Linked DNA regions of Oryzias latipes. The protein of the gene in region 2 interacts with the protein of the main gene of each other region in a biochemical or structural test. Links are inferred from orthologs where the notes say so. Each region holds a gene or a part of one and is shown on either strand. Other genes may lie near its edges.

What was found.
Region 1: the proteins of tdrd3 (region 2) and top3b form a complex in vitro, tested with the Homo sapiens proteins (2 studies listed by BioGRID and IntAct, with this or other methods). The link is inferred for Oryzias latipes from reciprocal best matches to the Homo sapiens genes TDRD3 and TOP3B.

The regions. Positions count from the first base shown.
Region 1 is NC_019867.2:30,368,841-30,385,361, reverse strand, and holds the end of top3b (DNA topoisomerase 3-beta-1), read right to left. Parts: intron 16,296-16,521; coding exon 16,182-16,295; intron 15,914-16,181; coding exon 15,823-15,913; intron 15,683-15,822; coding exon 15,528-15,682; intron 15,421-15,527; coding exon 15,315-15,420; intron 13,583-15,314; coding exon 13,436-13,582; intron 12,387-13,435; coding exon 12,213-12,386; intron 12,101-12,212; coding exon 11,972-12,100; intron 11,840-11,971; coding exon 11,690-11,839; intron 11,425-11,689; coding exon 11,324-11,424; intron 11,063-11,323; coding exon 10,861-11,062; intron 10,199-10,860; coding exon 10,011-10,198; intron 8,475-10,010; coding exon 8,193-8,474; 3' UTR 8,147-8,192; downstream 1-8,146. UniProt on the Homo sapiens protein: Releases the supercoiling and torsional tension of DNA introduced during the DNA replication and transcription by transiently cleaving and rejoining one strand of the DNA duplex.
Region 2 is NC_019861.2:15,643,144-15,659,122, reverse strand, and holds the end of tdrd3 (tudor domain-containing protein 3), read left to right. Parts: 5' UTR 1-63; coding exon 64-101; intron 102-2,417; coding exon 2,418-2,502; intron 2,503-4,452; coding exon 4,453-4,518; intron 4,519-4,975; coding exon 4,976-5,136; intron 5,137-6,178; coding exon 6,179-6,320; intron 6,321-6,442; coding exon 6,443-6,514; intron 6,515-7,539; coding exon 7,540-7,689; intron 7,690-8,704; coding exon 8,705-8,857; intron 8,858-9,426; coding exon 9,427-9,604; intron 9,605-9,725; coding exon 9,726-9,851; intron 9,852-10,353; coding exon 10,354-11,279; intron 11,280-11,423; coding exon 11,424-11,549; intron 11,550-11,712; coding exon 11,713-11,829; 3' UTR 11,830-12,406; downstream 12,407-15,979. UniProt on the Homo sapiens protein: Scaffolding protein that specifically recognizes and binds dimethylarginine-containing proteins. Plays a role in the regulation of translation of target mRNAs by binding Arg/Gly-rich motifs (GAR) in dimethylarginine-containing proteins.

The DNA.
Region 1 (16,521 bases), on a different chromosome or scaffold from region 2:
TTAAAATGCCTCTTCATTTGATACACGGTTTTTTTTATTAATGTAACATTTTTCTGGAGTGACGTCATCATTTCAGTCGGAATGTTTGTGTATTCCCGTACATCAAAACCTTTGATAAATCTTTGACGTGCTCTGTCGGGTCAAATCAGGAGGCTACGGTGGCCCTGAAGTGCCAATCACACCAACAAACCACTCAATGCACAAACATATTAAGGATCACAACGACAAATCATAAAAAAATAGAGTTACTTTTTAGAAAATCCTGGAAACCAAAAACAAATGTAAAAAAAAAACTACAATCAAAAATGGAATTGAAATGCTAAAAAAACAAAATGTTAAAAAAGAAACAGAAATCTGAACAAGTTGGTTCTATGGGACATCACTGATTGGATGATGACGTTTGTGCATCATTTCAACTGAAGGTCATTTGGATTTCATTGTTATTAGAACGCATGCAGACGCTAAAGGTTACGGCCGTAACAACTCACTAAAACACGGATTCATATCTGAATTTATATTCAGTATTGGATTTCATCCGATTCTCTGCCCTAAAGTGGATCCAGATCCTCTTGATCCAAACTTCCAGCAGTGAAACTCAGACAGAAATTCCTGCTACTGAACAGTTTTCCAGATTCTTGGATTTCTTCCAGATCATCAAGTTAATGAAATCTGTGTCCAAACAAACAAGTAAACTAGAATGAATGTCAAATCCATTCACATGATAGTTTCTAAAGTTCACCACTGTTGTGTTTTCAAAGGGAACATTCTCAGAACATTCCAGATGGTCACATGACTTTAAAGTCTGTCCACACATTGGACTGGAATGATGGACTGATCCGCTTTAATGACATCATGTGTGTCATCCGCTGTGATTGGTCGGTTTTACCTTATAGTCACATAAACCTACTGTGTCTCAATCCAGATGGTATTTTCCAATATCGATCAGATTAGATATTTTTCACTCTGCAACCGTTCTATAACGGTTTAGGTCGGTTTGATGAACAAAAATCAAATGTCATCATCCGATCAGCGATGTCCAGCGAGTACTACGCACCGTTTCTTATTGTGTTTCTTTTTACATTTGGTTTTCTGGAAATGTTTTTTATTTTGAATTATGTTTTGATTTCTAAAATCTAATTCTGCTTTTTTATTTTTATAAATTGTTATTACTTTCTTTAATATTGGTTGTGATCTTTAATATGACTCTGCTTGGAGGGAGTTGTTATTGGCACTTCAGGGCCACCGTAGCAACAGCTGATGGTGAATGAAAACCCAGAGACGCACGGCGGTGATGACGCTCTCCCAAAGCTGGGTACAGCAGAGGAGGAATGACACACACGGCGTTTCCGGTGGCCAAGAGGCTCAAAGCCCCGCCCACGCGTCAAATTAGGATCAGCAGAAAACAGGAAGTCTGAACTGAAATTGGAAACCGACTGAAGCAAAGACTGAGAGAAACGCAAAAAACTAAAGTTGAAAACTTTCATTAACAAATATTATTTTTCAAATGGTAACAGTTTAGGTTTATTTTTAAGTTTCAAATGTACTTTGTTTTTAAATTTTCAATACTTTTTTGTCCAAATTTTAAGTATTTCCTTCAAGTTTAAAATATGCACTCCCAAAATTAAAACCACTTTTATTTTCCTAATTCCTTTTTCAAATTTAGAGTTTTATTTTCTTAAAGCGAAACCTGATTTGCCTCCATGTTGTTCCTGAAAATCATGACTATTGTTACTTTGTTTCATTAATTCAATGATCCTCTATTGTCTCGTGATTTATTATTGAGATTTCCTGCATTAAGAAAAAGGAAACATTTGTGTGAAAAAAACGGTTTTAAATTTCTGATTTTTTAAATAAGAATTAAAGAAATACATGAATTAAACAGTGATACATTAATTAGTGTGAACATCTGGATTAGGTCAGGTATTGAAGGAACGCCGTTTTCCTGCAGTTATTTTAAGCAGTCAGAGCAGACGCCGTGCAGTCAGAGCAGACGCCGTGCAGTCAGAGCAGACGCCGTGCAGTCAGAGCAGACGCCGTGCAGTCAGAGCAGACGCCGTGCAGTCAGAGCAGACGCCGTGCTCATGTTTGTTTGTTTGTTTGTTTGTCCGTCTGCTCCTCTACAACAGCAGCGTCCCGCCTGCAGCAGCTCCGGGTCGACCAGAGAAACTGCACAACAACAACAACAACAGAGTCCAAACTGCAGCACCGACAGCCACAAGCATGTGTGGGGCAGGAAGGGGTGGGCGGGGGGAGGAGGAGGGGGGGCGCTGTTGGCCGATGCCCTTTTAAAATTGCACTGCTCACCTGATTTCACAGTAGCACAACAGAAAAAGGGCTCCAGACAACAACACACTGCTGCACGATTAACACATCGCCTCACAACAGCAGCCGTGAAACAGACAAACAGGCTTACGGCTGCTGCGGGGTGGGGGGTCACGCTGCCCGACCCGGGCCTGAAGACACAGACATGTCATAGATGCAGGCTGGGGGGGGGGGTGCACACACCACTTTACAATGTGAGCATTACAGTCATGTCTGTTCAGATCTGTTCCAGTCAACATTACACACACACACACACACACACACACACTTCCTGCAGGACAGGACAGGAAGGAGATGAGGGTACAGGAAGTGAGGGTGGAGGAAGTCAAAATGGGTGGGGGACACCAGCAGGGTGGAAGTAAAGGAAGCAAAAGTGTAGGAAGAGAGGATGTAGGAAGTGGGGGGGTAGTGGTGGTCTATGGTCCAGGGAGAGCCCCCTCCCTCTTTAGCTTCATGCTGCCTCATCTGATACCTTCTATTCCTGTCCCAGCAGCCCTGAAGCCCCTGAAGCCCCCCACTAGAGGAAGGCTGTGGATTCCACTGAGACGTTCACCTGAACCCAGCTGGTCCTGTTCTGGAACAGGAAGGACAAACCAGAACCCAGAACCCGACCCCTTGGTTCTGTGGATGTTCAGCATGATGAGGCCTCCCAGCGGATCTGAACCCTCCACCTCTGACCCGAACGGGCCTGCAGAACACCCGGACCTCCTGCAGTCCGGAGCCAGAGTCCGCCGTTGCTCCTGCCGCCCGGCGGACGGGCGCGTGCGTTTTTCACCCACCTGTCAATCACGGTTTTCTCAACGCACACGCACGCGCTTCCACTCTGGTAAAAACACGCGCGTGCGCTCCGCAGCTCAGCATGGTCTGAATGTCTGCGGCCAATCAGAACCGCGACATCCACGTGTGCGCGCGCTTTCGGGCCAGGAGGTTCTGTTGGTACCTGCAGGGCCGGTCCGAGGGAGGCACGCGCGGAGAAGCGCAAGCGCGTCCCACAGCGAGAAAGCCTCCCGCTCCGCAGTGTGCGCGTGCACGCACGATCCGGTCCAGTTCTCGTCCCCGGGAAAGACTCACGGTGCCCCCCCTCTTTAGAAGGTCCTCCGGTGGGTCGGTATTTTGCGGCCTCGCGGTTCTGGACTCCATCTTTGCTGGTTGACGTTCAGCTTCTGGAGCGCAGCCGCATCTGCATGCCGGCCTCTGATTGGCTGCTGGCCGCGGCCGCCTCCGCTCTCATTGGCTGCAGCCCCTCTCTCGCTCTCCCGGATTGGTCGCAAACCACAGTGACGTCACGGTGGACTTTAATTTAACAATGAACACAAATCCTGTTTTTCATTCACAAATCTGGCGCTGCCGTGCGCGCGCGCACCGAACCGAGCAGAGGGAGGAACCGAACCGCTTCAGAATCTGGACCGAGCGGGTCACGAGTGAAGCGGGAAATCCAGAAACGGTCGTGTTTTCGCCTGAGTTCTTCAGGGAGTTAGTAGCACGCGCGCTTCACTCTTTTTTGGGGGTGGGGGTGGGGGTGACGTCCTGCAGATGCTATGTAAGGCACGCGCGCTCATGTTGGTTCTGCCTGCTCTCCAGCTTGCTCCCAGTGTGGGGCCCCCAGGAAGCTCCATGCCCGTATATGGAGGCGAAGCTCAGATGAAAGGAGTTCCTCTGTGGGAATGATGCACGCGGATCCGCGCACGTGACTCACCAGATGGGTTGTAGGCCCTGTTCTGGTTCTGAGCTCTCTGCTTAATTCTCTAAATTTGAAGCAGTTTTAAGAGCTCACGTGCGCGTGGCTCTCTGACCTTGGAACCAATGCGTGAGCTCAGCCGGACACGTGCGTGCGGGAGGTGCGCGCTCGCACTTGGGCAGCCCCAACCAGACAACGTGATGCAAACCAGCTTTCGGCAGGTTTCAGTCCGGACCACCTGGAGATTGTTCTGGTTCTGGCTCCAGTTCTGGAGCTCAGGAGCTTCTGTCACGTGCGTGCTCACGGCGGAGGGGCACGCGCGTGCCATGAACAGGATGGAGACGCATGAAGAGAACGAAATTTAATTTAATGTATTTAAAATATATAATAATGCAAAGCTACTATCCCTATGGAAGACACTTGTGCTCCTCCTCATTTTTAAAAAATCAAACCACAAAAAGTGAAACTTAAACTACTGAGTTTAGTTGATATTTATCTTAATTTTTATTTTCAAAATAAATGTCCCCAATTAAAAAAAACCTTTAAATTACGTTTCTCGTATAGTTTAGTGATTTCTCTACATTTTATTAAAATTGTATCTTGACTCTTCGTCTTCTAAAAGCTATTTAACTTTTCTGTCAAAGTGAAATTTGCCAAGTTTGGTTTTATTTGTTTAAAGTCGTTTTGTGTTTAAGTTTTATTTTATTTAGTTTGTGTTTTTGCTTTTATGTGTGGGTACAAATCAAACCATAAAACAAGTAGAACAACGAATGAACAAAAATTAAAACATTAAAAACAAATTAATTGGTGATGTCTGCCTCACTGGAAATTAAACAAGACAAAAAAGAAACAAATAGAAATAACTTTATAAATTATAGTCAAATGTAAAAAAATAAAAACTACAGGGATTCATTTAATTAAAGGTTTTATTAGATGATTGCAATATTAGTTTGGATTAAGTTCTTACTTTTACTTTCTGTGAGGAATAAATTGATCAGGAACTATTGCTCATTTCCATGACAATCTGAAAGTTCTTAATAAAAAAGATTACATTTAAAAAAAGAAAAGAAAAGAAGAAAACAAATTGAGAATAAGGTCCAAAACAGAAAATGTTTCAAAATTATGAATGAACTGAATGGAGTTATTAGATTTATAATATATATATATATATATATATATATATATATATATATATATATATATATATATATATATATATATATATATATATAATATATATATAATAAAAATACTATTAAATCTGGGTTTTGTAAAGTTTTGTTTTTTAATTAGTGTTTTTTAAACATCGGTTCTGTTTGTAAAGTAATTTCTTTCCTCTTGTGACCAGTTAAAGGAAAACAGCTGATCGAAAAGCAAAGTCTTTTAAAAATGTTTTTCTTTAAAAATGCTTTGTTTTTCGAAGGCAAACCCTCCTGTTAGCAGATGTACTTTTTACCCCATTGACTATTTATTACATTTTAGATAAAAATTAATTATTATTTTTTGTATGATATGAACCTAAAATAAAAACTCAAATGCATTCTACATTTCAGAACCATTGAATGAATTTAAAACCTAGAAAATGCAAATAAATAAACGGGGAAAAAGTCCTAACATTGAATATCTTTACGTGAAAATCAGACTAGAACCTGAGACTTCTGGTCACTTCTCCATGATCGTTTGGATAAATTGATCAACCTGCTGCAGAACAGTGACGTTCACCAAATACAGACTTCATCTGCTGCAGGACAGACACTCCAGTCAGAGTTTGATGCTGGAAGAATTTCTGTTTGCTGGAATAAAATCTGACTAAAATGTGTGTTTTTCTGTTGGATTGGGATGGGGGGGACAGTGGATTAATGGGGGGGGGGGGGGGGGGGTCTGATCAGAAAAAGCTCCAGGTTTGTAGAAACTGCTGCTTTGGTTTGTTGAGGACTGACGTTCACTCGTGCAGAACCTGCTGGTCAGAAACCTTCATGTGGAACTGGAAGATCGGATTTTGGAAGCTCCAAACGGAAGACGGAGCCTTGATCCTCATCAGTCTGAGCTGTGGAAGCAGCAGTGAACGCTGTTGTTCCACGCCAGCGGTTTCCTGCTCCAAACATGTGACAACCAGGTTTGGACAGACCTCTTCTGGTTTATGATGCAAAAAAACCAGATGAACGGATGAGCCTCCCATGGAGCTTTTATCAGAATGGCCTCATATTGAGACCATTCTGTCCAGAACCAGTTCTGAAATATCAAAACAGACTTTTATTACATCTAGAATAGATTATGGCGATGGTCTTTGATCTGGTATTATTCCGGCATTCTCAGTTTCTTGGATATCCTCTTATATCCCTGTCCTGTTTTGTTCAGTTCGGTTACCTTTTCCCGTAGATCCTTTGACAGCTCTAAGTTTTCCTCACGACTCAGGATCCAGAAATATCAGTGCAGCACTGAAACTCCACGACCTTTTGTGCACACATGCATACAGGTAAACGAGTCACAGGTGAGGATTGTTACCTGTTGCTGCCATTCAAACCCTTTTGGATCAGATTGTGTGTGGATGTTTTCAGAACAAAGTCATTGGGTTATGTAAACTTTTGAATAGGGGCATTTGGGTAGTTTATGATTTACAAAGACTAAAGAGAACTTTTTGATAGTAAATGGCTTCACCGAACGACTAACTATGAGTGGAAAACAATTGTGTCATCTTCATATTCTATGAAAAATAAATAAATCTTAATTATGTATATATATATAATTACATTTTGTTTTCCTATGTATGTGTGTGTGTGACATTTTAACATTAATAAATGATTACTAAAATACTTTCAAGCATGTAAATCAGAGGTCATCTTATGTCGATACAACTCTAACCTCCACCTATAGGGGGCAGTCTGGTCCTATTTGTCCACCAGTCATTACATTTGACTTTACTGTATGGAAGCGATTCTGTGGCATAATTAAAAATAAAAGTCAAAAGCAGAAATGCTTTTTCATTTTCAAAATGAAGCTGCAATCCAACAAAATGCTTTTTCATTTTCTTCTTCAACACCGCTTATTCTGTCACTTAATTAAAATCAAAATGGTATCTGACATTTCATTTTCAAAAAGTTCTCTGGTAAATGTGTAGCAAACTTAATTTAGAAATGTCTAATTTGACAGTTAAAATGGATTAACAGAAATGCTTTTTCATTTTCAAAATGTAACTCCATCAAATGACTCAAAATTATAATGAAAAATTTAGTGGAAATAAATTTTGTATTAGTTTGATTCAGAAAAAAGTGTTGAAACCGCTGATCTAAACCAGGTTGTGTTCAAGGGTTCCTACTGTTTCTTAGAACTGGAGAGGTGATTCTTAAAGTTTGGGCTTAGCATCACACAGCTGCACCAATCAGTTTCATGTTTTAGTGGACCTATATGCCTCCCCTCCCCAATAAAGAATATTCTGGAGGAACCCCCACAGCCGTGTTTAAAAGGGGATTAAACAGTAAACTAGCAGAAGTCTGGACCTCCATGATCTTGTTTTATTGTTTACCTGATGCCCAAATTCCATTTTTTGTCACCTCCACAATACAGTCGAGTGAAATATTCTGCATGACTGTTCAGGCCTAAGAGCAGGAAGTCTATAAAAGGATTCATGTTAGAATGAAAAGACATTTCAACAAATGCCAATATAATATAACAGTGTTAAGGTGACAAAAGTGTTTATGTGCTGCTAAATGTTTCAATTGTATAAAGTGACGTTGCTTTGCAGATTTTCCATAGAATAGTGCGGTTTTCTGTTCAGAAACCGCTGCAGTGTCTTGTGTGTGTGTGTGTGTGTTGTGTGTGTGTGTGTGCGGCTCCAGGAATACAGGTGTTAGGTTTTTAGGTTAAGGGCCAAAATGCAGCAAGAAGCTCCTCCTCATCCTCCTGGTGCCTTCAGGGAACAGACAGACTTATAAGACTTTATTAGGGTTTTAAATACGTGTGTCTGCGCTGTTGTGTTCATCTTTTTGTCTGATTTTGTGTTTTATTGGTTAAATCAAAGGAGGGAGAAACTCTGCTGCTCTGGGCTAAACAAACACAGAAACAGATGTTTTTAAGTTTTTATTCTCCTTCACAACATCAGGTTGAGCTGTAAGCAGCGGTTACCCCCCCCCCCCCCCCCCTACTGTCCCATCATGCACTGTCCCTCTGGTCTTGCTGGACTCCGCCCCCCCCCTCATACAAAGTATGCTGCCAGGGCAGCCATTTTGTCTTTGGGCTTCTTAGGGTTTGGTCGCCGGCCGCGTCCGCGCCCCCGGCCCCCTCGCCTGGCGCCCCCGCCTCGGTGCGCCGTGCGCCTCATGGAGGCGTGTTTGAGCTCCACCGCGTCCTGGAAGAGCGGGTCGCAGAAGACGCAGCCGGTGTGCTGCGTGTCCCCCTCCGGCAGGGGGGTGCGGGCCTTGTTGAAGTCCACCATGACCAGCGAGGCGTCGCAGACCTCACAGCTGTCCTGAGAGACCTGTGAGGGTAACCGGATCAGAACCTCAGGGTCCACATTTTCACATCTCTGCAAGAATGTTAGCCATGAAGAAGAGAAGGTCGGTGAAAATGAGGGATGGCAGACGGGGTGAGGGGCCCCCAGAGTGTCGCAGCTGGGGCTGGCAGAAGAAGAGAGCAGGGAAGTGTCCTGGGCTTAAAGGGTCTATATCGCTTTTATTCAGAGGATAATATGAACATGTATCATAACCTTTGACACACAAAAGAATACCTATTTAATGAAATATTTGTTATTTTCGCAGCTATTTTCCAACCCAGAAGTAAGACGACTCGACCTCTGAGGCTCCGCCTTTCTCTTCATGCCTCAGCAGCGTTTCTACCACAAAAACAAACAAACATCTGAACTTTTGCAAAGATGGAAGTGCGTATTTTTTTTCTAAAACATAAAAAGCGTTTAGTCGATCAGCACTAGCTCCACTGAGAAAGTCGGCGTGTGTGTTAGCCTGGGGACGGAGCTGGCAGCTCAGACTCTTCCTGAAAGGGGCGGTTCTTCACTTCGTGACGTCACAATGTGAGGAACTGATCATCGCTCAGAGAGCAGGTTTTTAGAAATGCATCAATGGATCAAATTACCGCTTTAGGATTGTTTTTAGTGAGGAACTAACTCAAAAGTGCATTTTGATATCGTCATTGCATGATATAGGCCCTTTAATTTGCACAAAATAAATATCGAAGCAACATGGGAAAAAAAAGAATAAAAAGAGTGAAAAGAATGAAATTAGTGTTTTTAACACGTTCCTGTGGCTTTTTTCTGATGATGGACGACATAATTAAGACAATTAAAGTGAAAACTGCTTTTTTTTTTTACATTTTTCTTTTGTTTAAATCGCTGTGTATCAGGAGCAGACAAAAAAAAACGCAGTTTTATAAAGCTCGTAGTTTTTGTGTACAAACTGCAATCGGCTTCCTACTCTAAGCTCTCAACAACAGGGAGGGGAAGGGAGGGGGGGCGGGACCTTTCCAATGAACTACTGCTGCTCAGCAGAAACTAGGTCCTAGCAAACGACACAGGTATTTAGATTTTAGCTAAAAACTGCATCATCGTAAACAAAAAAACACCTGGAACGTTTAAAAACAGATCAAGAGACGATCGGAGCGGGTCGCTGCAGCAGAATCGTGTACCGGTACTTTTAAATCAATATGAGCCGGTAGGAATGGAGAGGGAAAGTTTAAAAAGCTTTAATCTTACAGAATCCACTCCTTTAAAGAAAAAAAAGAGGTTCAGAATCTGGAGTTCTGAGCAGCATCATGTGGTTCTGCAGTCATCTAGATCCTAGACCGGTTTAACGTCACGGACCGGCCCGTACGAGGCTGACGTGGACGTAAGGTTTCTTTTTTTTTTTAGCCTCCAGTCCCCCTTTGCCTTTGAGCCCGTCCTTCAGTCAGTCTGGTTCAGGAGCCGCTGCCTTCTGCACGTGTTTCAGAACCATCGTTCATGGGTCCAAATGTGTTGCCCGGTGTGCTCATGAGCAACACGGTTAAGGAAGACCGTCCTCACCTGCACCTTGTGAGCGTGCTCGAAGAGGTGCACGAGCACGTTGCACCTGTTGCAGGCCATCCTCCACTTTGGTCCAGAGGTGGGGTCCAGAACCAGAACTCCGGACTCACACTCCACACACTGACCGATGCCCAGAGCGCTCAGGGAGTGCTGGCAGGACGGGTGGGTGCACTCGTTGCAGCCCATACCTAAAAGAACAAAGGAAGACCCCCCCACACACACATCAGTCCACAGGTCCGAAGGCTGGGTGACCCGACGCTCTGCTGAGCTCAGAACACGGTGCAGAAACGTCTGGTACGCACACCTCCTACCACCAACAACCCATCTATCGTCACGGAAACCGAGCCCCCTCCCTCCGTGAGAACAAGAGGTAAATGTGAGACGGTCATGTGGAAAGTGCTTTAGCGGCATACGCGGTAAAAACAGCCAGGCTGCTGCTGCTGAAGGCCCGTTACCATGGAAACCTGTGGTTTCTGAGGGAGCTGAGCCTTTGGCTCTGCCTCTGACAAAAGACTTTTCCAACGCGGTAAAAGTACATGAGTGTCCGTCAAGAGGAGGAGGACCCACCTCTAAGAGATGGACGGATGAAGAACAAAAAACTATGAAACTCTGAGCTTTAATAGTTAGAGTTTGTTAAAGTCCCTCTCATCATCGTCTGATCTGTTGTCAAAGCGTTCCTAGAGCTTTTTTAACCACGAATATGCCGTTTTTAAAGAAATGGTTCTTTAGTGTGCCAAAGGTCCTATATGATCATATATATGGATATAGCTTAAAAAAGCATGATATAAGCCCTTCAGGTAAGAAGAACCTTAAATGAAGAACCACAAACTAAAGAAGGTAATCAGATTACCTTTTTTCATGTCTCTGAATGGCGGGTTGCTGAAGCAGTAGGGGCACAGGGGGTAGCTCTTCCCCCGCGCCCCTGAGGTCCACAGAACCAGCTCAAAGTCGTCCAGAGGGCAGCGCAGCTCCTTGTACAGCTTGATGGCGCCGTTTTGGGGAACGTTGTAGGTCTCGTCGCAGTGGGAGCAGTGGAGCCGGCTGGGCTTTGCCTGCAGGAGGAGCTCAGACGTTAGCTGGGATCTGGGTCAGAGTTAACAGAAACCCAAAGACCGGACCGGTTCTGAAACATCTGCTGCGGGCAGAGGGAGGGACAACGAGGGCACAGCTCAACTAATCCAGGAGGACAGTCCTGATCCCAGAATTCTGTTTCATGACCCACAGAGATGACAGGGTTCTGATCGGATGGACGGGTCACGTGACCTGTGAGCGCCCCCCTATGGACACATGAGCATGTGCAGCTCGCGGCTCACCTGGATGTACTTCATGAAGCGGTGGCACTTCCCGCAGCGGGACAGGGGCTTCCCCGTGGCAGCGATGGGGGAGAAGGAGACCTCCATCAGCTCGTCCATGCCTGCAGGAGCAACAGCCCGTCATCAGTCCAGTCCTCTGTTAGTCCAAACGATCAGAACCAGACTGTCCGGAATGAGTCTACGTACACCACATGGTTCTATCAGAACAAACACTCCGGTTCTTCTGCTTCTAATTGCATCTTCAAGAAATTTACTCAAAATATTGGTTTTGTTTTTGCATTCTGAGAACATTTTCTCTAAAATGAAATGAAGAACACCCCATCAGTGAGGAAGAGGAGAAGGGGGCGGGGCCTCCGCAGGACTCACTGCTGATGGAGTCCACAAAGTAGTGGAACTTCCTCTTGAAGATGTCCAGCGTGTGCTGCAGCACCTGCTGGAAGTTGGCCTTCCCTAGCGCGATGAGGCTGAGCTGCTTCTCCACGGCGGAGCGGATGGTGGGCAGCACCAGCTCTGCGTCTGTGGGGGGGGGGGGGGGGGGGGGGGGGGGTGCATGAGTGCGGATGAGCTGTGCTGAAGGACGCCTGTGCCGGTTGCCATGGCCACTGATGCAGCGGCGGCGCGGAGGTCACAGCTCAGACGTGCGCTCACCGATTTTGTAATATCCGTGCACGAGGACGACACCCAGGTTGGTGGGCTTGAGCCTGCGCCCCGTCTCCACGGTAACGTAGTTCCTCTGGCAGACGTTGTTGATGTGGACGGGGATGCTGGCGTCCGTCCCTGCAATACCAAGGACAGCCCATGTGAGTGCGCTGGGAAGAACTCGGGCGTCACGACTCTGCTCCGCAGAGCTCTGAGGCCCGGCCCGTTTCAGCGAGGCGGGTGTCGGTACCGATGCCGTGCTTCTCCATGAGCGTGATGAGCTCGGCCTCCGTCAAGTAGTCCGGGGGGCCGGTCTGCCTCTCCACCAGGCGGAGCTCGTCCACCGTGAAGGCGTCTCCGGGCTGGCAGGTCGGCAGCGCCTCCTCTAGCGGGACGCCCTGCCAGGGCATCAGGGCCGTGTAACCTGAAGGAGAGCACAGATCCAAGACCACGCCCACTTAGTCCACAGAACCAGAGCTGCTCAAATGCTCAGAGGGTTTTCCATCGCGTTTCCTCTCATGTTTGTGTGAACGCTGAGGAACCCCAGAATCTGAATTTCTTCTTTTTCAGGTTTCTTGGCTTCAAACTGTTTTCTCCTTCAGGAGATTCTTGTTTGGTGTGGTTGTCACGGTAACATGACAACGCGCCGCTTAGCCCGCTGAGTGGCGACGGACCTCGACTGCAGAAGCAAAGGAAAGCCAAATATATGCTGATGGTCACGATGGGTTAAATAAAGCATCAGTTCAGAGAGAAAGTTCACCTCTAACCGCTTGTTTATGTATGTCCAGATGATAAAGAAAACGTTTGTTTTAAAGAAGCCGGCGCAGTGATACAGAACATCAAAGCTATGTGACCAGAACTTCTTTTTTTAGGGGTGCGTTATCTCTGTGGACTATCACTTTATGTCCGCTTCCAGCAGCCAATCAGAATCATGAATTCACCCGGACCCTGGTATCACTGTGTAGAAACTATGAGAAAAATGCGTAAACGGCGTAATTCTCACCCGACCAAAAATTCTGAACAACTCCAAACCGGACATCTGCGCACATCGATGTATGAGGAATGCAAGCAGCACGTCAAGTACATCACGCATGATACACGAAAGACGGAAATTTGATACGTGAAAATGAGCAAAACATACGCAGTGACTAAATGAAGGGATATGACGTACAGTATGACCATATGAGGAATGTGGGCGTGGTTAACCAGAACGGTCTGTTGCCTAAGAACTGCAAAAATGTACTTTTGCTTAATTTTCTAAAAGTACGTAGATCTGCCGGTTATTCCTGAGCAACCCAAAAATAGAATGGTTGCTATGGAGATACAACCAACAGAAAAACTAACATTATGAAAAAAGTAGTGCTTTTTTTAAAAATTAATTTATCTTTCAAAAACAAAAAAGAAGCTTCTCTGCGTTTCTGAAGCTGCAGAGAACCGAGCTCTGTCACAAAGATCTGCTCCCTCTGAGCTCACCTGGAGAAATGGGCGTTTTCCCTCCACAGGAGAAGCGCTCCGTGCCGATGCTGAACTCTATGGTGGACTGCAGGTACCTGCAGTCCTGGCTGACGGTGGCGATGAAGTGCCGCGTGATGTACTCGTACAGCCGCCAGCCGTCACTTCCTGCAGAGCAGCACAGGACAATCCGGATGAGATCCTGAAGACCCAATATTGTTGCCCAAGTTCAGGATCACTGCTCGCAACCTTCGCACTGGTCAGAGCTGTGATTTTTAGTTATGCTGTGATTCATTATAGAAGTGGTTCGATTCCCTGCTAACCCAGTCAAATATCAAAGTTTCTTTGAGCAAAGCGGGGAACTGTGAAGCTCTTTCTCTATTCTGGTAAAGTTTCACTCTTGGTCGAGGTTGAATTTTTGAAATCCAGCCTCAAAGTGGGCGGGGCAAACCTCAGAGGACATCTTTCTGTGTGCAGCACCTCCATCTGCTCCCAACAACGGAGAAACTCAAGGCCGTGGTAGATGTGCGGAGTCCTGAACCAGACAGCGGGCGGCTCTGTTCTGCTGTTGTTTTCTGTTCTTTGGACTGTAAACAACAGATGGTTTTGTGATGTCCTCCTGTCCAGAACCGAACCAATCCCTTAAATCCAAGTTTTAGCGGTCGGAACCGCAGATTTGAAGCTTCAAATGAACTGCAGCATGCAATGGAAAAGCATGAATCCGTGTGCAGTGAGAGCCTGCAGGACAGAGCGGGTCTGATGAGTTACGGGGTGTTAGCGCCCCCCCAGCTAAGTGTGGATGTACCTGCTTGCATTAGCAAAGGCACGCCAAGACTACGCACACATGCATGCGTGTGGAGGTGCCACATTCACCTTGGGAGTGGGGTCATCTGGACCCCACCAGATAGCACAAGGGTTAACAGAAATGGGTTGTTCATCCGCTGATCAAAGGTTTTGGACCATAGAATTAAAAAAACCTCAGTACTGAGTAGCTCCGCCCATCTTGATGATCACCTAAAAAACTCATTGATGTGTTTCCATAAGGCTTTCTGCTAAGAGGTCCTTCATGAAGGACGTCCATCCAATTGGATTCAAACATGCAGCAGAGTGGGGTCCGCCGCGGTCAGGCGGGTGTTGTGACCCGCAGGAAAAAAAAACCCAGACCATGATGGCGCCTCCACTGTGCTGCATAGAAAACATTTCATGTCATGCCAGACAGAGGTCAGGACCGTCCGAGTTAGAGGACGTTCTTCCACTTTCAAACATCCCATGTTTGGCGTTCCCTAGTCAAGTGGCCTAGGCGTGGCCTTTGGCCTTTGTTTTAGAAGTCCTTCTCTCGCAGACGCCGTCTGATCGGTACAGTCAGCACCGTCTTCATTTGGGTCAAGAACCGTCCCGTGTCATGGCGAACAGCCTTTTGGATCCTCCCAGTAACATTTTTTGACCTTTTTTGTTCCATAACCATCAGGATCTTTTATAAAAGAAATTAAATTCCAGTTTTACAGCGTCCAACCTCAGCAGGGACGGCAGGATGTGAGAGGCGTTCCTTATGCCGCTCAACAATCCTACCACGATTACTTTGGAGAAAACAACATTGAATGTAGATTTTGGGGCAAAGTCTGGCTTTTAAAGGACGTGGTCCTTAACTTTAGATCAGTTTCTTTCTTTAAAATTGTTATTTTTAATAAACTGGCAGCCAAAAATATGAGTTCTCTTGTCCTTCTTTCTTCTTTTTGCATTTTGAAATTCTTTTTAGAACCTTGTGATAAATTCTTGCATTTTCCTAAGATGTCAGAAGTGACAGGCTTTCTCAGAACCTGGGGGGGGGGGGGGGGGGGGGGTCTTCTTTTCTTGCATCAGTGATTCGTTTTAAATCCCTCCCCCGTCCCCACCGACTCACCCAGCTCTCCCTCTGAGGCTGCACGCATGGGGGTGATGGGGGGGTGGTCCCCGACGTCATTTCCTTTCCTGGGTCGGTTCAGTCCAGCCGACAGCAAGGCTTTAACCTGATGAACGATAGCGGGGGGGGGGGTCACTGAGCTGCAGCCTCAGAAGAGGTGCTTACAGGTCAAAGCACAGGAGTTTTTGAGCCCCCACCCCCACTGCAGCTCACCTCCTCGGCCCACATGGGGCTGTTGGCCTGCTGCCTCAGGGTTCCCTTCAGGTCAAAGTTCTCGGGGTACTGGGTGGTCTCTGTGCGGGGGTAGCTGATGTAGCCCTGGGTGTACAGGCGCTCTGCAATCTGCATGGTGTGCTGGGGGCCCATTCCTGCGACAGAACCACAAGGTTCATACGAGTCATAGGACAAGTCATGCTAGTCACATGACTCCAAGAACGAGTCATGGCAGTCATGCTAGTCATGCTAGTTATTGTTATTCGTGGTCATCAATGGATGAGGAGAGGATCACCTAAAGCAGAGCTGGCCACTCGGAGCATCTCCACGGTGTTCAGGGCCTGAGGTCTCTGCTTGGTCTTCTCCTTCTGACTCACCGCCTCCACCTGCATCCAAAACACAGGACATCCGGTTCAGAACCAGGTTCTCCATCAGCAAGTTCTGAACCGGGTCCTTATGGGTCCACTAAAATAAAACCCGGCATCACTCCTAGTGTTTGGTGTTTCTAAAGTTGGGTTGTGTGTGTTTTGGTCCATCATCAGAGACCATTTCATCATCTCACTACTGTGTAGCTGTGAGTCTAGGAGTGTGTGTTGAGCCTCAGGTGGGTTGTACCGGGTCACAGAGACCCAGCACTGCTCATGATCTTCCTACCTTGGCTTCTTTAGACATCTTGGCCAGGTTGACGAACATCTGTCCCACCTCCCGGTCAAACACCCTCACCCTGCTCCAGTCCAGGGTCAGCGGGCCGTCCTTCCCCTTGAACACCTGAGCAGAACCCAGCAGGTCAGAGCTGCTGTTTGGACATAAGACCTTCTCAAATGTCCCGCTGGGTTGGGGAGAATTCAGGCTGCAGAGTTCTGCATCAACCAAGACCAGAAGCTTGAACCAAACCCAACATGACCTCAGACTGTAACTGTGCGCTTATCAGGAGGCAGAATCACAGCTCCAACTGGAATTAACAAATGCCACGAGAACTATCTGAATTCAGAGA
Region 2 (15,979 bases):
GTAGAGGTTGCACACTTACAATTTATTGTTGTAGTTAGTTTAACGCCAGTAGATTCGACCAAAATGAGTGACTTGGTAGATTCCCTGATCAAAGAGGGCTGGTAAGTAGTAGCATTTTATGTTACAGCTAACTGCTCTGCTACTCACTGAGCTGGTGGCTTCAATCATTCCCCAACGCTTTTTTAAACGGAAAGCTTTGCCAAAGAGAAAACATATTTCTATAAGAAAATGGCTTACTGATATTCAAAAATATTGACACTGCAGTTTTTTTTTTTGTGTTTTTTGTTAAAGTGACATTACAATGTATGGAGTAGCTGGCGCGATAGTGTAGTTTGCTAATCCAGCTAGCATAAGATTGAATTAACAGAAAACTCTTGTCACGGCTAAAAGTTACATTTAAAAACCGAAAATTGGGATTAAATTTTAGGTGCGTTACGACAACAAATCGTTTGGTTACTTCCAATGTTATAACTCATGCTTCCACTTTGCAAGCTGCATTAATAACTCGTGTTGACCTCGTTGGACAGACGTCATTCATTCATGTCCATGAATGAACTGCCTAAATGTTCTGCAAATGCTTTCTTGTGGTTAACACTAAAATGACTCTTACCCATAAATGCTGATGTAGAATAGAATTCCAACTGTTTTTTCCCAGCTATGATTGAATCATAGACATTTATTTCATGAATCTGGAATAATTATTTTTTACTAATGTTAAATGATTTACTTATTTACTCCTAATGTGTTGGCATATATCATGTTTATAAAGCAATGCACCTTTCATTTAGATGTCTTTGACTTGCATACAATTTCACTATTTTTTTTAATTAGTTTTTATGTTTTTGTTGTAATTTTTGGTTAATAAGTTAAAAAACTATTCAGATTTGCACGACCTTAGAAGTAAAAAAAAATATGGATACCCTTTTTTCTTGCTTTATTTTCTTCTTTTCTTTATTATGAATACTATTATTGTTGTTGTTGTTGTTGTTGTTGTTTTCTTATTGGGCTACAACCTACAGTTATAAAAATGCCCCCTAAAAATGTTGCTGATAAACACACTTTCGATTCCCACTCATTTCTTTTGTGAGCCTCGCAAATTGTAACAATTTTTTTTACATGGTGATCTAAACATGGTGAATGACGATGAGTTAAGATTAAAATCAGAATCTCTATTCTTGGCACGGATTTTGTAAGCGTCGATTAATTATATGTGTAATATTACTAAACTGGGATTGCAAGTTAAAACTGCCTTCAAATCATCTTTAATATTACAGTTTTGAGTCATTAAAAAGCAGAGATTGTCCACGAGATGCTATTTTAATGACTTAATGCTACATCCCCTGAAAGTCTAAGGCACATGTGTCAAACACAAGTCCCGGGGGCCAAATGTGGCCCGCCATGTTATTTTATTGAGAGCTTTACAATTATTAATTTCTTAAAATTACATTTAGTTGATTACATATTATTTATGTGTAGCTGCTGTTGTAATTATTCAGTGTTTGCAGGTCTTATGTGTGTATGCAGACAAAGGCTGTGTGCAGCCTTTTTTTGTAAAATGTTACACGTGTAATACATGTTCTTTCTAGCTGAGTTTTATGTTATTTTTCGTTATTCACTTGGACGGTTTGATCCTTCGAGTTATGTGGGTTTTAATAAGCGGTTAAAATTTAAAAAGATTTATGCTAGAGTAACAAGCAAACAGATGTTTTCTATGAAACTGTAATTGTCACTTTAAAAAGTTATAATAAATAAATAATTCATTTTTTTAACATTAAGGAGTAGTCACATTTATTTTTCATTAAATTTAGTTACATGTATAAGTTATATCTGGCCTTTAGGGGACAGCCACTATGCTGATGTGGCCCTCGGTGAAAATGACTTTGACACCCCTGCTCTAAGGCTTGTGTCTTACTGTCAACAGATTGTGGATGACTGTGATGTTTAGGGATTTTCTTCTGTTTGTTTGCCTAAAGGTTGAACATATTAACTCATCATTTGCTGGACATATGTCATATCTGGCTCAAAACACGTGTAGATTGGTCACTGAAGTGTCAAACTACTGTCAATATAACATCTGTGAGTCCAGTAACTCATCAGAGGGAGAGAAATCTAAAATACTATATCTAACTATCTAAAAGTAAATATACTACCTCACTACAGGAAGTATTTTTAAAGTTGGCCATTATTCGTCGAAATTAGAATCACTCGTTGGGATTTATCTCTAAAGACTGTGTAAAAAGACAAACACTTTGGATAAATGGTATTTTTAAAGCTAAAGTCCAACACTTGAAGTAAGATTGACGCTCTTACTTTATTTTTTACAACCTAAAGGCTTTTTTGGTTTGAAACATTTTCCAGTGTTATAGCTGGAGCTTCAGGAGGTTTTAGTGTGGAATTCTTATTGTTTGTCTTCACAGGTACCTCACAGATGAAGGCATCGAAGAGCTGAAGGGATCTGCTGAGAAACTGACCCACAGTGACATCATTCACGTTGCACTGGATGTGAGTTTGAGATGTTTGCTTTTGTTCTTTAAACGCAATGGGCTTTCTTTTTGTTTTGGTGTGTGTTTGTAGGTGTATGTGTGTAGTTGAGGCTGGTTTTGCATTGCAAATTGTTGTAGGACCCTGCAACACCATCACAATAAGTAGGATTGAGACAGGCTAGGCTGGAAAGGGAAGAAAGCCGTGAGCGTGCTGCACGCATGACACATTCTTTGCAAGCTCAGCTTCGGCTGCACTCGCTCTCTCTCTCTCACCCTAGCTCTAAAGAGTCGGACTTTTCCTTCAACTCCTTCCCCTTTGATCAATTAGTCATTTGCTCACATCCTGAAATGATATCAGAAATGAATGTGAGGACAGGTACATATTGATTTTTCCTCCTTTTTTTGGAGAGGTGGGGGTGTGTGGACGTTGTTCAGAAGGAAGTGTTATCGTCTTTCAGTCAGAAAGTTTCTGTATTGATCCCTCCCTTCGGCTTTAGTGTCCTTGGGCACTGCATCCCGTTTTGGCCCCTTCTTAAAACGTTTATAACATGAGAGTCCCTATGAAATGAATATCCAATTTCATTCCTGACATTCTTGATGTTCATCTGCTTACATTGGTTTGCATTCAGAAATGAAATTTACTGAACTCCAGCTTCTTTTCTCTAATAATGTATATTAAAAACATTTTAATGCTGCAGTTTCATACTTTTTACATTGTAATGACATAATAAAATAATTGACATAACAATTTCCTTTAAAGCTCTCTACATAGTCATGTGCAGCCTGCCTGAAGAGATCAAAACCCAAGGTAGAGGTTGAATTATTAGTGACGAAGCTGCTTATTTACCTGATGTCTTTTTCTTTTCACTAGATTATCAGTAATTAGATTAAAAAGTCTGAATGTACAGCCTTTAGTGGACATGGATTGACTTGAACTTTCTGTGAACAAAGGCGCTTTAATGTGACAGAGGAAGTTAGTCAATCATTCATGCTGTGCCTCCCGCGGATCAAGAAGGAGATGTCTGAAAACGCTGCAGGCCGTCCGACTCACTGCAGTGCGCTGCATCTGCTCCCCAATATATCTACGTCCGGCCTTTGGGTTGTGTGTGTTTAGTTGAGATGTTGAGTCAGCAAACTACTTCTCCCTTTAAATGCTTAATTAAACTGAGGGCTTTAAGGAATTGGTGGCGTTTCGTGCTGAAATATCAAAACGTAAGGGTTTCTTGTTAGTGTGATCTCATCAATAATGATGTTCTGGAGTGTCATTAATGGATCCCGGTTCTCCTTGGTTCTGCTCTTCTCAAATGTACTGGCTTGTTCTGTCACATGAAGAAGTGACAGGAATACTTCCCCCAAGTGACAGCTCATGCAGAGCAGCATTATGTTGGTGGTGATGATGATGATGATGATGATGATGATGAGAGCTTCACGTTCGCTCTGCACTCTGTCACTCAGGCATGATGGAAAAGAATCCATGTGCACACACACGTTTGCCTTTCATCAGTTGACTGATTTAGCAAATAAATGACAGCTGATTAAACTAAAGCAAAAAACAAAAACTAGATTGATGTTTTCTAGTAGAATCGGTGCGATTATTTACTTAATTAAATTATACATTTTGCATACATTGCCGGCTGTGGGGGGTGAAATGACTATGATATTTATATTGTATTTCAGCATTCTTGATATTTTTAACACATTCCTTTGGCATTTTTCTAAATATATAGGTTAGATATTAAGAAAATTAAGCTCAAAATTGCATATGTGAGAATTTCTTTCAAAGTATCTCATGTAATTATTTAAGTGAAAAACTGTAAGAAGCTTGAATGAGAATGATTGGTTTGGTTAAATCTACTCAGAACTCCTTCCTTCAATTTAGTGTCAATTTTCAAGAACTGTTAATATCCACAAATTGAAATATAATGTTTTGTTCGTGCATTTTTGTTATACTGTTGTTATTCCCTTGCAGACGGATCTTAGGCCTATCGGAAGCAAGATTTTACCATCTGATATCAACAGTGGAAAAACAGAGAAGGTAGGAAGAAAGAAATCTTGCAGAAAATGAAAACTGTGTTAAGCTGTAGTTCTCAGGATCACCACTAGATGGTGATGACACTCTGCCAAATGATCATGAAAAAAATGGTGGACCTTTTACTAAAACTGAAGGTGGTCATCTTAAAACACAACAAATTATGATTAGTTTTGTTTTCTTTATCCTGGAATTGCTTTGCACGCTTATTCGACTTTGTTTTTATGTGAGCACAAACTTAAAAATAATAAAAAAATCATGGCTTAAGGCAGTAATTCTGCACTGATAGGTAACGAAATAGTTTAACAGGCAAACGCTAAGGGTAACGTATACAAACATACTATTTTTATTGAAAAAGGTAAAAATGTTATCCATTTTCTACTGTATTCGGCTTCCTTGTAACTTGTGTTGCTGGCGTGTCTGCTTTATAATCGATCCTTCTTTGTCTGTTGCACATGGCTAGCTGGAGGGCCCATGTGTTCTCCAGGTACAAAAGGTGAGAAACATCTCAGCCCCCAAAGACAACGAGGAGTCCCAGGGTGCACCGCGGATGCTGCGCCTACAGATGACAGATGGGCACACCACCTGTGTCGGATTGGAGTTTAAACATCTGTCCAAGATTAGGTATGCTGCATATTTGAACAAACGAGGAGTACAGTTAAATGCAGCTGTCAGGGCAGTCATCACTGGTTAAAAGGGTTAAAAATCATACTTATTCTACAAATGGCTAATTGCTAAATAAACGGCATGATGTTTGGTACGCAGATCCTGGGGCATTTAGCCAGCTTTTATATTTAGAGCTAGCGTGCTAATTGCGAGCACACTCTGCTCTGACACCCTGTCAGCGCTCTCACCGCACCACACGCCTGGATTGTTTTCCCTTTATCTGCAATTTCCACGTAGTGGCAGCTGATCTAGCTGCTCCCGGCCTTAATTACATCTCCATCCAAGCAGTGGTGGCCTTGGTGATGGCTGCCATGGTGACTCTCTCCAGCCTGTACAGGTGGAGTGGCCAGAATGTGGGTGTTGACTTCCTGCTGGGATGAGAGGAGAAAACCGAACAAATCCCCTCTTTATGAGCGGCGCACACACACAGACTCACACACACTGGCAGCCAACAACAGTGGTTTGTGTTTATTGCTTAAAGTGTCTGTAAGCGCGTGGAAAAGGGGATGAAGGACTTGAAGAAAGTCAACTATTAGGTTGCAAGTTGAATAGCATGTTTGTCTGTAGTTGAGAGAAAAACAACAACCAGTGTCTCATTTCTGCACTTGCCTCCATCAAGAGAACACTTTCTATCCCAAAGGTTAAGAGCAAAATCTGTAATTGTTCCTTTGGCTTCCTGCATCAGGATCTGGAAATCCCTCTAAGTCTCAGTGGTTTCCTAATGAGACAGGCAGAGGCCTTATCAGGCCTGATGAGATAGAGGCGCTTTTAATTTACCATGAGGATGGGGGAGCAGCTGGGATTATTAATGGTCTCTTCTAGCCGTGCCACCCATCTGCTGACAGAGCTTCATGCCTCATGTCATTTAGAAAGTGCTATCAGGAAGGCAATGGGATGTTTTTGCCGTTTTTTTAATGTGTGAGAATCACGCTTTAAAAAGAGTTTGTGTTGCTTTGCTAAAACATGTCTTATTTAAGCATTGTTTTGTTGTCCTTTTCAGTCTGAATACACCCCCCGGAACAAAGGTGAAGCTTCTTGGTACAGTCCAGGTTAAAAATGGTTGTTTGCTTCTTGAAGATTCAAACATCTTAGTCCTTGGAGGAGAAGTTGAGCACATGGTGGAGAAATGGGAGCTCCAAAGGGTGAGATTGTTTTTTTTTTGGCTTAAAAGACAATATCTAATTTTAGCAATCATTGCTCTTTTTATTTCATTTGGGCTTACATAGCTTTGAACATGGAGTTGTCTTTCTTCCTCACCTTGCAGAGTTTGGCAAAACACAGCAGGAGCAACATCGGAGCAGAAGGGGGCCCACCTCCCTTTGTACCATTTGGTCAGGTGCGAAAAAGTCCTGCACGCTTTTAAACAAACTTCAACTTGTGTCTAGAAAAGGCCAGCTTTAAGCACGGATGTTTAAGAAATGGAATTTCAGCCGCAGCTTTAAGGAAAGCTGGGAATGATGAAGGTATTCAACAAGTCAGACAGGTCTGGCCTTGAGTTTCTTTTCCCCGCAGTGTTTCCTTTGATCTTTTGAAGCATTGTCTTCATAAATCTTTGAAATAGTTGGACAGATCTACAGTTCAGCTTTGGGCCTTACCTATAACCCGTGGTGCAAATGCTGCATTAGGGTTTTATACAAAAGTGTCTGGAATTTAAAAGAAAAACAGCAAAGAAAGAAAATATGGCATGTTTCTGTGAGTAATCTTTAAGTGGGTAATATAGCGTACGTGTCCACTTGTACACTTTAAATTGACAAATAGTTGCTTTCTATTCAAAGTTTAAAAGTGGAAACAAAAGCATAAATGCTTTTATTTTTTAATTTTTCTTTTAATTTTGTGTGTTTTAAAAGGTTAAAATGTGAGTGATTTTGTGTCAAGGTTTAGCATCTTTATCTGCTCTGGAATTGACATTTTTTTTAATTTACAACTTTGCATTCCTAATGTGTTTAATATCTGGATGTTGTCTCTAGGAATCCTTTTTTATCCAATTCCATTTTTTTGAATTTGTCTACAGCTGAAGAAATCTTTGAGTAAATCTGCTCTGTGCTTTACTAGAACCAGACTTATTTTCAGTTTGTTGCACAAGACATTAGAAAGTCTGAGTTGTAGAAGATATGGCCCATTTTTCTGCAAACTCTAAATATTCTAAACTTCTTTGAGAAATATAGTCTCTTTTAAATTGTGTGAAAATTTGGCATTTCCTTTGAATTCCTTTTTTCTCTATTGTTGAGCTGTTGTGTATCACTGATATTTGCATATCACCAAGGAAATGTATTTAAATTGGTTTTGACACCATTCTGTATTGTGTTACAGTGTTTCTTTGTTCAAACGACTAACAGAGATCTGTGTTTGTCCTCGGAGCAGAAGTGTGCCCGGAAGGACGAGGTAGACAGCAGAGAACTGGACCAGAGGAAAACCCTCCAGACGCAGAATGTGGTCAAGAGTCCCGACGAGAACGACGAGTTTGAAAAGCAGCGAACAGCGGCGATCGCCGAGGTGGCCAAGACAAAAGAGGTTTGTCAATGTTTTACGGTCACTTTACGGTTTCACATTAATTACTAAAACACACAACAAAGGTATCAAGAGAGCTTAAAAATCTGTGTTAGCAGTAATCTAAAAATAGAAGAATCTTAAAGCTTCGATGAAACTTGTTTTTCTGATATTGTTAACGAGTTCTTGTGGCATTTTTCTCACAATGGAGGACTTATATAAGGAAAATTAAGCCCCTGCCCCTCTATATTCTGATCAATCCACTTGCAGACAAATAGATCCAAATACACTTTGTTTTTACTCATCGGAGCTGGAATCTGCCTCAGAACTGCACGGCTGAATAGCTCTAAAATTGCTTGCCAGTTTTTATTGCAGCGGTAATGTTAGGCTGGGGGTTTGAGGGGCTGTAATCTAGTGGGAGAGAATGTAAACCCAGCAATGGGCGGGGGAAAGAGGGGCGAGGTTCCTCTGCCCCAACAGTTCCGCCCACAAATATCACGCAGCCTTAATCTGTGTTGGTGTTCCACTGATTTCCATTTTATGTGAATGCAGTAACCCCTTTTGGGTGCTTTCTGAAGCTTAAAATTAATCTTCCAGAATGAGGGTAGCTATTTTATTTGAAAGGAATCTAAATGCTCATGTAGCTGTTTTTTCTTCAAAGCGGTTATACATTTTTTTAAAAACACATTTTTACCCCTTTAACAACAAAACTGAAAGCACATTGAAAAAAACAGGATTTTCATTATTTACATCCTTCCTCATCACATCTTTAATGCCTTTAGACAAACTGTATTCTTTAAACTAAATTCTATTTTCTCAAATGATGCACCACCTATTTTGGTTACCAGCTCAAATACATGCAGTTTGTTGACATTTGCATTAACCTTCGTTGTTTAAAAAAATGGACCTTCTTAACATTCATCAGAAGAAGAACTTATAATTACAATGTCAACAGCAATATTCTTCTTTATTTTCCTTTCTTTCTCCTTTTTCCCGGCTTCCCATGATCACAACTGTTGTCTTCCTCTTTCCTTGTTAGGGTCCCCGCAGCTTTGGTGGCGGCGGGAATGCGGGCAGTAATTTATCCAACGCTGCCTCCTCTTCCCGAAGCAGAGATGCCAACCAGCAAAGGAGACGTGAAGACAAATTTGAAAAGACAGAAAGCAGACCAGAGGGAAACTACAGAGAGCTGGTGAGATGACCAACATTTATACTTTTTTTAACGTTTAAAGTTCAATACATGGGTATTTCCTGACAATAGTAATGCCTCCTTGCACCGTTAAAGGAGGCAGCAGGTTGCTCTTCTTTATTTCTTCACATTTTTGAACTGAAGTCTTGTTTCATCGTTTAGAGGTCGTCTGACACATTGACCAATGTTAAAGAATGTAAATGAACTTGAGGTCCGTCTGGTTTTTAAACTAAGCTGGAGTTCATTTGTCTCTTTTTGTTGCTTTGCATCATGAAGTTGTAATTGTCCCGCTTTAGGCTGAACACATAAATGTCTTCACGGGTTTAGATGTGTGTTGCAACACATCTAAACCCGTGAAGACATAAGCCTGTTTTTATTAGGCCTACCTTTTTAAATTGAAATATGCACTACCCTGTAATTTAAGCTAGATTTAAAAAAAAAAAGGGGAGGTGTTCCTCATGCATCGTATTTATTGCTAGCCATGAGTCTACTCCTTCTCTCCAAAGCTATACACTTTTCCCGTCTTTGGTGTTTTTTGATTGTTGACTGTGCTCCGTGTGGTTGGTGGGCAGGTGGACGAACGTGCTCTGAGAGACCTCATGGAAATGGGCTTTGACAGAGAGGCAGCTCGACAAGCTCTGCTGGATAATAACAACAATGTTGAAGTGGCTCTAAACAGTCTACTGACCGGAAGTTCTGGTGGCCGACCCGGCTCTACGGTGGCTGAATCAAACAAGTCCCAACCCAGAGGTTCGTACACAAACCACAACAAAATCAATTCAGAAAGTCGTTTACGTTTCTCAAGTTGTAAAGTGGTGGTTTTTGTTTAGCCCCCCCTCCACCTGAGCTGTATGCTTAATTTTGACTTCAGGAAGAGGAAAGGGAAGAGGCAGATCCAGAAACGAAGACGAGGATGATGGGGTTGGAGGAAGACCTTCTGGTCCAAGCACTCTGTTTGACTTTCTGGAATCCAAAATGGGGGCTTTCTCTGTGGATGGTGGGTGAACATCTTCATGATTCTGCACTTGGAGCAACATCATTCAAAGTAAAACAAAGTAAAGCCCCACATCTCATCTGCAAAGACGTCTAATAAATGTCCAGAAGTTTTTGCTCAGTGATCTGTAGCACCTTTCCCATAATGGCCATAGACGGAACGTAATAATTGTCATTTATAACTTGGGTAATTGTTGAACTTTATGTCTCTGGGGGTTTTGCCTAATAGATGTTTTATATTAAAACAGGTTACAGCCATCAGATTACTTAGAAGTTTAGTTTTGTTTAAAAAAAAGAACTTTTGCAAATGTTTCAAGACATATTGGGTACTTGTTCTCAAATACTGTTTTCAGTGTTGCTTCCCAGTAAGATTCAACTTTAAAGGCAAATGTTAGTCGAGTTGAGAACATCCTAACTCCTGCAGAGCATCAATAAAACATGGAACATTGATGTTCTAACCTTTCTTTTCCATTGTTTACATATTTTTTGCTGGCGTGTTTTCCCAGATACAAAGAGTCAGACACAGCTGAGGAACCATGAGAGCAAAGCAAGTTTCTCCAACACAAGCTACCACACCAAAGAGCATTCTCAGCCCAGGTTTTCCTCACACTATGAACACAAATCACAAAGGAACGACAGGCCGCCAAGATTTAACAAAGACACAGATTTTCCTAAACCAGGCCAGGAGCACATCCCTAACCTAATGAGCTGTCCAACGTCAGCTCCATCTCAGCAGTGGAGGAGCCAGGAGAGGTGGCCGCGAGGAATACCAGATCAAGCGGTTAATGACAGGAGACAGACAAGAGATGATCAGACCGTTAGCTCTACCACTTTGCCAAAGCACTCAGAAGAACCTCAGCAGAAGTTGGAGTTTAATGGATCTTACCACCAACAATCCAGAAATAGAGAAGGCGGCTCAAATACGTCTGGGTTGTCTCAAAAAAGAGGGATGAAAAACGACGGACCCTCACCTAAACCAAGTCATTCTGCAGGAAATGATGCAGATGGAAGAGGAAACAATAAAGAAGCCAACAACAGCAGGAGGAAGCCAAAGGTTGACCGGCAAAACTCGGACCACTTTGACAGACAAAGAAATAGTGGCCAGTCCAACTTTAATTCAAAAGGAGGGAGCTGGGGGACTCAGGAAGGAGGATTTCCACAAACTCTTTGCTCGTTGACAGGGGTTCCTTCTCATTTTCAAAACGGAGAATTAGAACATAAAAGAACTGGACCAATTAAGCCTGGAAACATGCCCTGTACTCCAAACAGGGAGCAGCTACCCAGAAGAAATATGCCTCAAAACTCGGGACCGAAGAGAAGACCGGGCCAAGGTAAAGGTCAAGGCCCTCGGGGACCAGACAGGAATCAAATCCCAGAACATGGATGGAAACCCGGAGACCAGTGTCTGGCGCTGTACTGGGAAGACGGCAAAGTAAGTTTCCGTTTCACGTTTCTGTACAACCAAACAAATGTATTTTTTGGAAGTTTGACATATAGTAAAATGTTGATTCAAACAGTGCTGACTATTCATAGAGACAGCAGTGTGACATTGATGCCTGTATGTGTCTTCCTGAAGTTCTACCATGCAAGAATAGACGCAGTGCATCCATCTGGCTCCACAGCTGTGGTTGTGTTCAGTGACTATGGAAATTGTGAGGAGGTCCTCCTGGAGAACATCAAACCTGTGTCTGCTGACATGTTGGTAAGGAGAAATGACGTTTCATTACTCTGCTAATGAAGTTGCAAACATGTTAGCAAGTAGTAAAGAGAAACCAGTCGGGCAGGATTTTCGTGAGGGGCTGATCAACTGCAGGTCTAATGAGTCGCAGTAGCACGCCATATTTGTGTCAAATGTTCACTGGCAGGAGGAAGATGACAGCTTCTACGACAGTTCACTAGAGTTTCGCCGTGGGGGAGATGGACAGCCGAGACGAACGAGGCCCACGCAGCAGTACTACCAGCCCCCCAGGGCGCGTGATTGAAGTGTCTGTGTTTTTACCTGCGCCGGTGAACAAATGAAAATTGGCCTTTCGTTTTCACAGAAAATGTTTTGTTTTGAGAACTGTTATGCATTTCTCCGGCTCTGTTGGAGAACGTGCGCGATGTGTCCCGGTAACGTTGAGGATTCGTTTCTCAGTGACTGGCATTTCTGTCAGCTTGCATCATAATTGTCTCCTGCATTGGCATTTTACATAACAAAGTGGTTTTGGCTCATTTTCCCTTTTAGTGCAATTTAATACAAAACATATTTGCGGGGTTTAACTGAGGTTACGAGGATCCCATGATGCCATAAACATGAAGAGAAAACATCAGGACTTTTGTCAATCCTTTTGTTTTTTGCTTGCTTGTCCTTCATCCCAACACCTCCTGCAACAATCCAGAGTGCTTCCTTTATTTTTGTCGTCCACATAATCAGGACAGAATGTCTCAAAGGGCTTGCACATGATGCTGTAATAAAAGAACTGACATGAGCTCCTGTATTATTTGGGGAAGATCATCTATTTGTTGTGAAAATTTGTTAAATGGATGCATTGAAATAAATGACTAAAACCTACCAAGTAGAGTATTTGCTGTCTTTTTTTTTGGTGCCTTTTATTATTTAACTTGCATGATACAGAAACTAGTGTGGGGTAAAAAAAAAAAATTATCCTCCTCAGCAACTGTAACCCTTGTGCTATCTTAGATGACCCCACCCTTACATTGACGTGTTCTCCCTACCATGACAAAGGTGGATAAAGGTGGAAAGATTTAATGTAATCCATGGACACCAGTGAAGATCACAAATCATTGAAGAAAAAAGGTTCAGCGCACTGTCTAGGATAGCACAAGGGTTAAAAGTGGTATTTTCCTCATTTAGACAGAACTAGATTCATAGAATTATCCATCTATCTTATCAGAAGCTGCTGTATTTCTTTTGGGGTCACAGGGATGCTGGAGCCAACCCAGCTACTGTTGGGCGGAGGCGGGATACACTCTTAAGCCTTGTGCTATCCTAACAGCTCACCAGTCTGTTGCAGGGGCCGGCAATCCTTTTGCACATCTAGGGCCAATTCAGAGATGCCAATGTTTTTGGAATGTGGGAGGAAGAAAACACACAAAGGCACAGGGAAAACATGCTGCCCCCTTCATAAGATTCTATGGCATGAATCTAGGATTTCATGTACTGATAATGTAAAAGAAAGAAATGCAACTAAAGCAGATGTGCAACCAATGAGGCACCTGAAGTGATCAACTTGTCAAAGGCCAAATAGGAAGTGAAACTTAAACACAAGTAAAACTTGCACAAGTAAATTGTAATTGTATCTGTTTTTAAATTCTATCTTTATGTGCACTGGCTCTACAAGTCCCCAGCAAACACCCCTAGCTCATTTGTTGTGTTCTTTGAAGCAAATCCAAAGCGTAAGAGAATCTCTATCCCCCTGTAATAGAGATAGTTTCACTGCTGAGATATCATTTTGCACATTACAATAGGAACTGTACCCAGCTTTTTGCGCACACTCTTCTGGCTGTTTGTAGCCATGCGCTGCTCAGCAGTTTCACACATGAAGGAATAATCTCCGCCTCAGCTCCTGTTTCTTTTTCACCATCAGCAGGAGACAAAGCAGACAATGCAGGCAGGTTCAGAAAGGAGGTCACTGTGTGATTCTGTATCACTCGTCCAAACGGTTTGCTTAATTTCCAAGTGACGTGCCAAGCAAGCACGCATGAATAATTAACAAACGGTAATATGGAAACCTATCTACAAGAGAGGAACTGAAAATGAACCTGTTTGAAAGTGTTCGGGGGGACTGTGACACATTCATGGTGAATGAATACATAACTAATTGATTTTCAATCAGATGAGTGCTAACATTTTGGTAAGCGGTTACAGCGACCATTTTTGGGTAATATTTACATGATTATAGATTGCAAACGAACAGGAAGTAAAAAAAAATGTGAAAAGAATCTTGAATGCATCGCAAAAGGTTTATTCTTAGAAATGATAAATATGTAAGAATTAGTTTTCTTAAAGCTATTGCAGAAGTTCATAAAAATATTTCTAGGTTTTAAGAGATAAAAGATTAGGATAGCCCTTTAGTTGTCCCACAGTGGGGAGATTTCCACTTTGCAACAATAAGAGTAACAGCATGTACAAAGAAATGTGTAAATGATGTGTCACATGTTTAGACAAAACTAAAGAAGGGAATGGGTTATAAATATAGCCCAGTGAAAATATTGCACAGTTCAGAAATAATTGTACATGAATGAGGTTAACAATGTAATAGTAGTAACTAGTAACTGGATTTACTGGGGGAAATTGAAAGAACCGACCTTCGATGTCTTTACTTCAAACGCTTAAGGTGTAACAGATGCCAAAGGAGCAGCTTAGTGATGACACCGTGGGTGTTGTTCTCCATCAAGGATGATAGTATGAGGACCATCCTCCGTTCCTCACCAGTTTGAGATGCAGACCTCTTCATAAAAGATGCCTAAGACTACCACAAACTCACATCAGGTATGTAAAAGTGGTTCATACACTCCAAAAGACCTCAGTCTCCTCAGCAAATAGAGTCTGCTCTATTCTTTTAACCCTTGTGCTATCTTAGGCACTTTAACATTGGGAGTTGGGTCAGTTAGACCCTTACACGTCAATGTAAGCGTGGGGTCATCTAAGATAGCACAAGGGTTAACAAATGGTTCACTAGTTCGATTTTGTGTTGAGGTGAAGACCCACGTTCTAAGAGTCCACACTCCCAATGTCCTCTTCCTGGATGTTCACCATAGATAATGCAGAGTGTCTGAGGAAATCCACTACCAGCTCTTTAGGTAAAACAATTCAATCATTTATGAAGAATGCTTGAGTTATCAAGAAAGTGAACTTTTCTTTCATCGGGTAGAGTTCTTGATGCTTGAGAAGCACAAAAATTAAATCTCGTTTTTCATGTTTACATAACTGTACTGCTGTGTAATCTGAGTGCTGAGATCAAAGGGAATCTACAGACATGAATGTTGCACACATTTGTGTGTGTGTGTTTGACACGACTTTATAGTTCAATATGATCTCAAGTGCACAACATTCTACAAAACATTCTGATTGGATTTTACAGGAGTGGATTTACAGAGGCGATGAAATATATTGGTGCAGCATTTCACTTTTTAATGTTAGCGCTTGACGGCTTTAAGCGCAGTCAGCTTCAGTTTGATTGCATTTCCATTTATATTGGATTATGAGATGTGGGAATGATTTCTTAGTGGTTAGCACCGTCTCCTTGGAACAAAATAGTAATGCATTCAGGTTTGACAAGAATGTTCCACTAACACTCAAATAGGTGTTGGTGTCGGCGAAATTGCAGCCCAAATTGCTGTAGACAACAGACAAATGCATGCTGGGACAACTGCTGTTTTCACTGTTGCTCTGTTGACCACACAGATTGATTTTCAAACTGAAACCTGACAACCCTACAGCAGCAGGAGGCCTGCTTTTCCTCCTCCAGAGGGAACATGCCTCTTTCCCACATTAACATCCCCTTTGCCGTGCCCCTTCGTTTCCCACCTGCCTGGCTCTCATATCACCATTCACAAGCGCTGCTCTTTATCTCCGGGCTTACCTGACCCCTAACCTTTCAACTCTTCACCATAGTACCTTTGTCACTGTGCCACCTGAACCAGGTGATCCCGTGAAATGTATTCTTTCTTACATGACGTTTACATCGCCCCCAACAGGCCAGAACTTTCTGTTCCTCTGACAGAGGGGGTGAGGGGGGATTAGAAAAAAGCCTATTTGAGAGTGGCTTTCTAGAGAAGAATATTTGGTTCCCAGGTGGTGCAAGTACTGTAGCAGAGGGGCAGTAACTTACTCCCTGGGCGAGTAACCCCACCAGCCCCCCCCCCCCCCCCCCCCCACACACACACACATACAAAATTTGACAACATCCTGCTGTGTTCCCTATCTTCTATTTAGCCATTTTACACAAAAAATGCATGAATTTTCTAGACTCGTATTACAGGGGGGTCAAACTCAGTCACACAGGGGCCTAAGTTAAAAACACGCTTAAGGTTTTGGGCCGAAGAAGATAAATGTTTACTGAAGACACTAAAGCTAAACTTTTGAACCTTTTAAACTGAACTTTTTGAACATAAATATGAATAAAA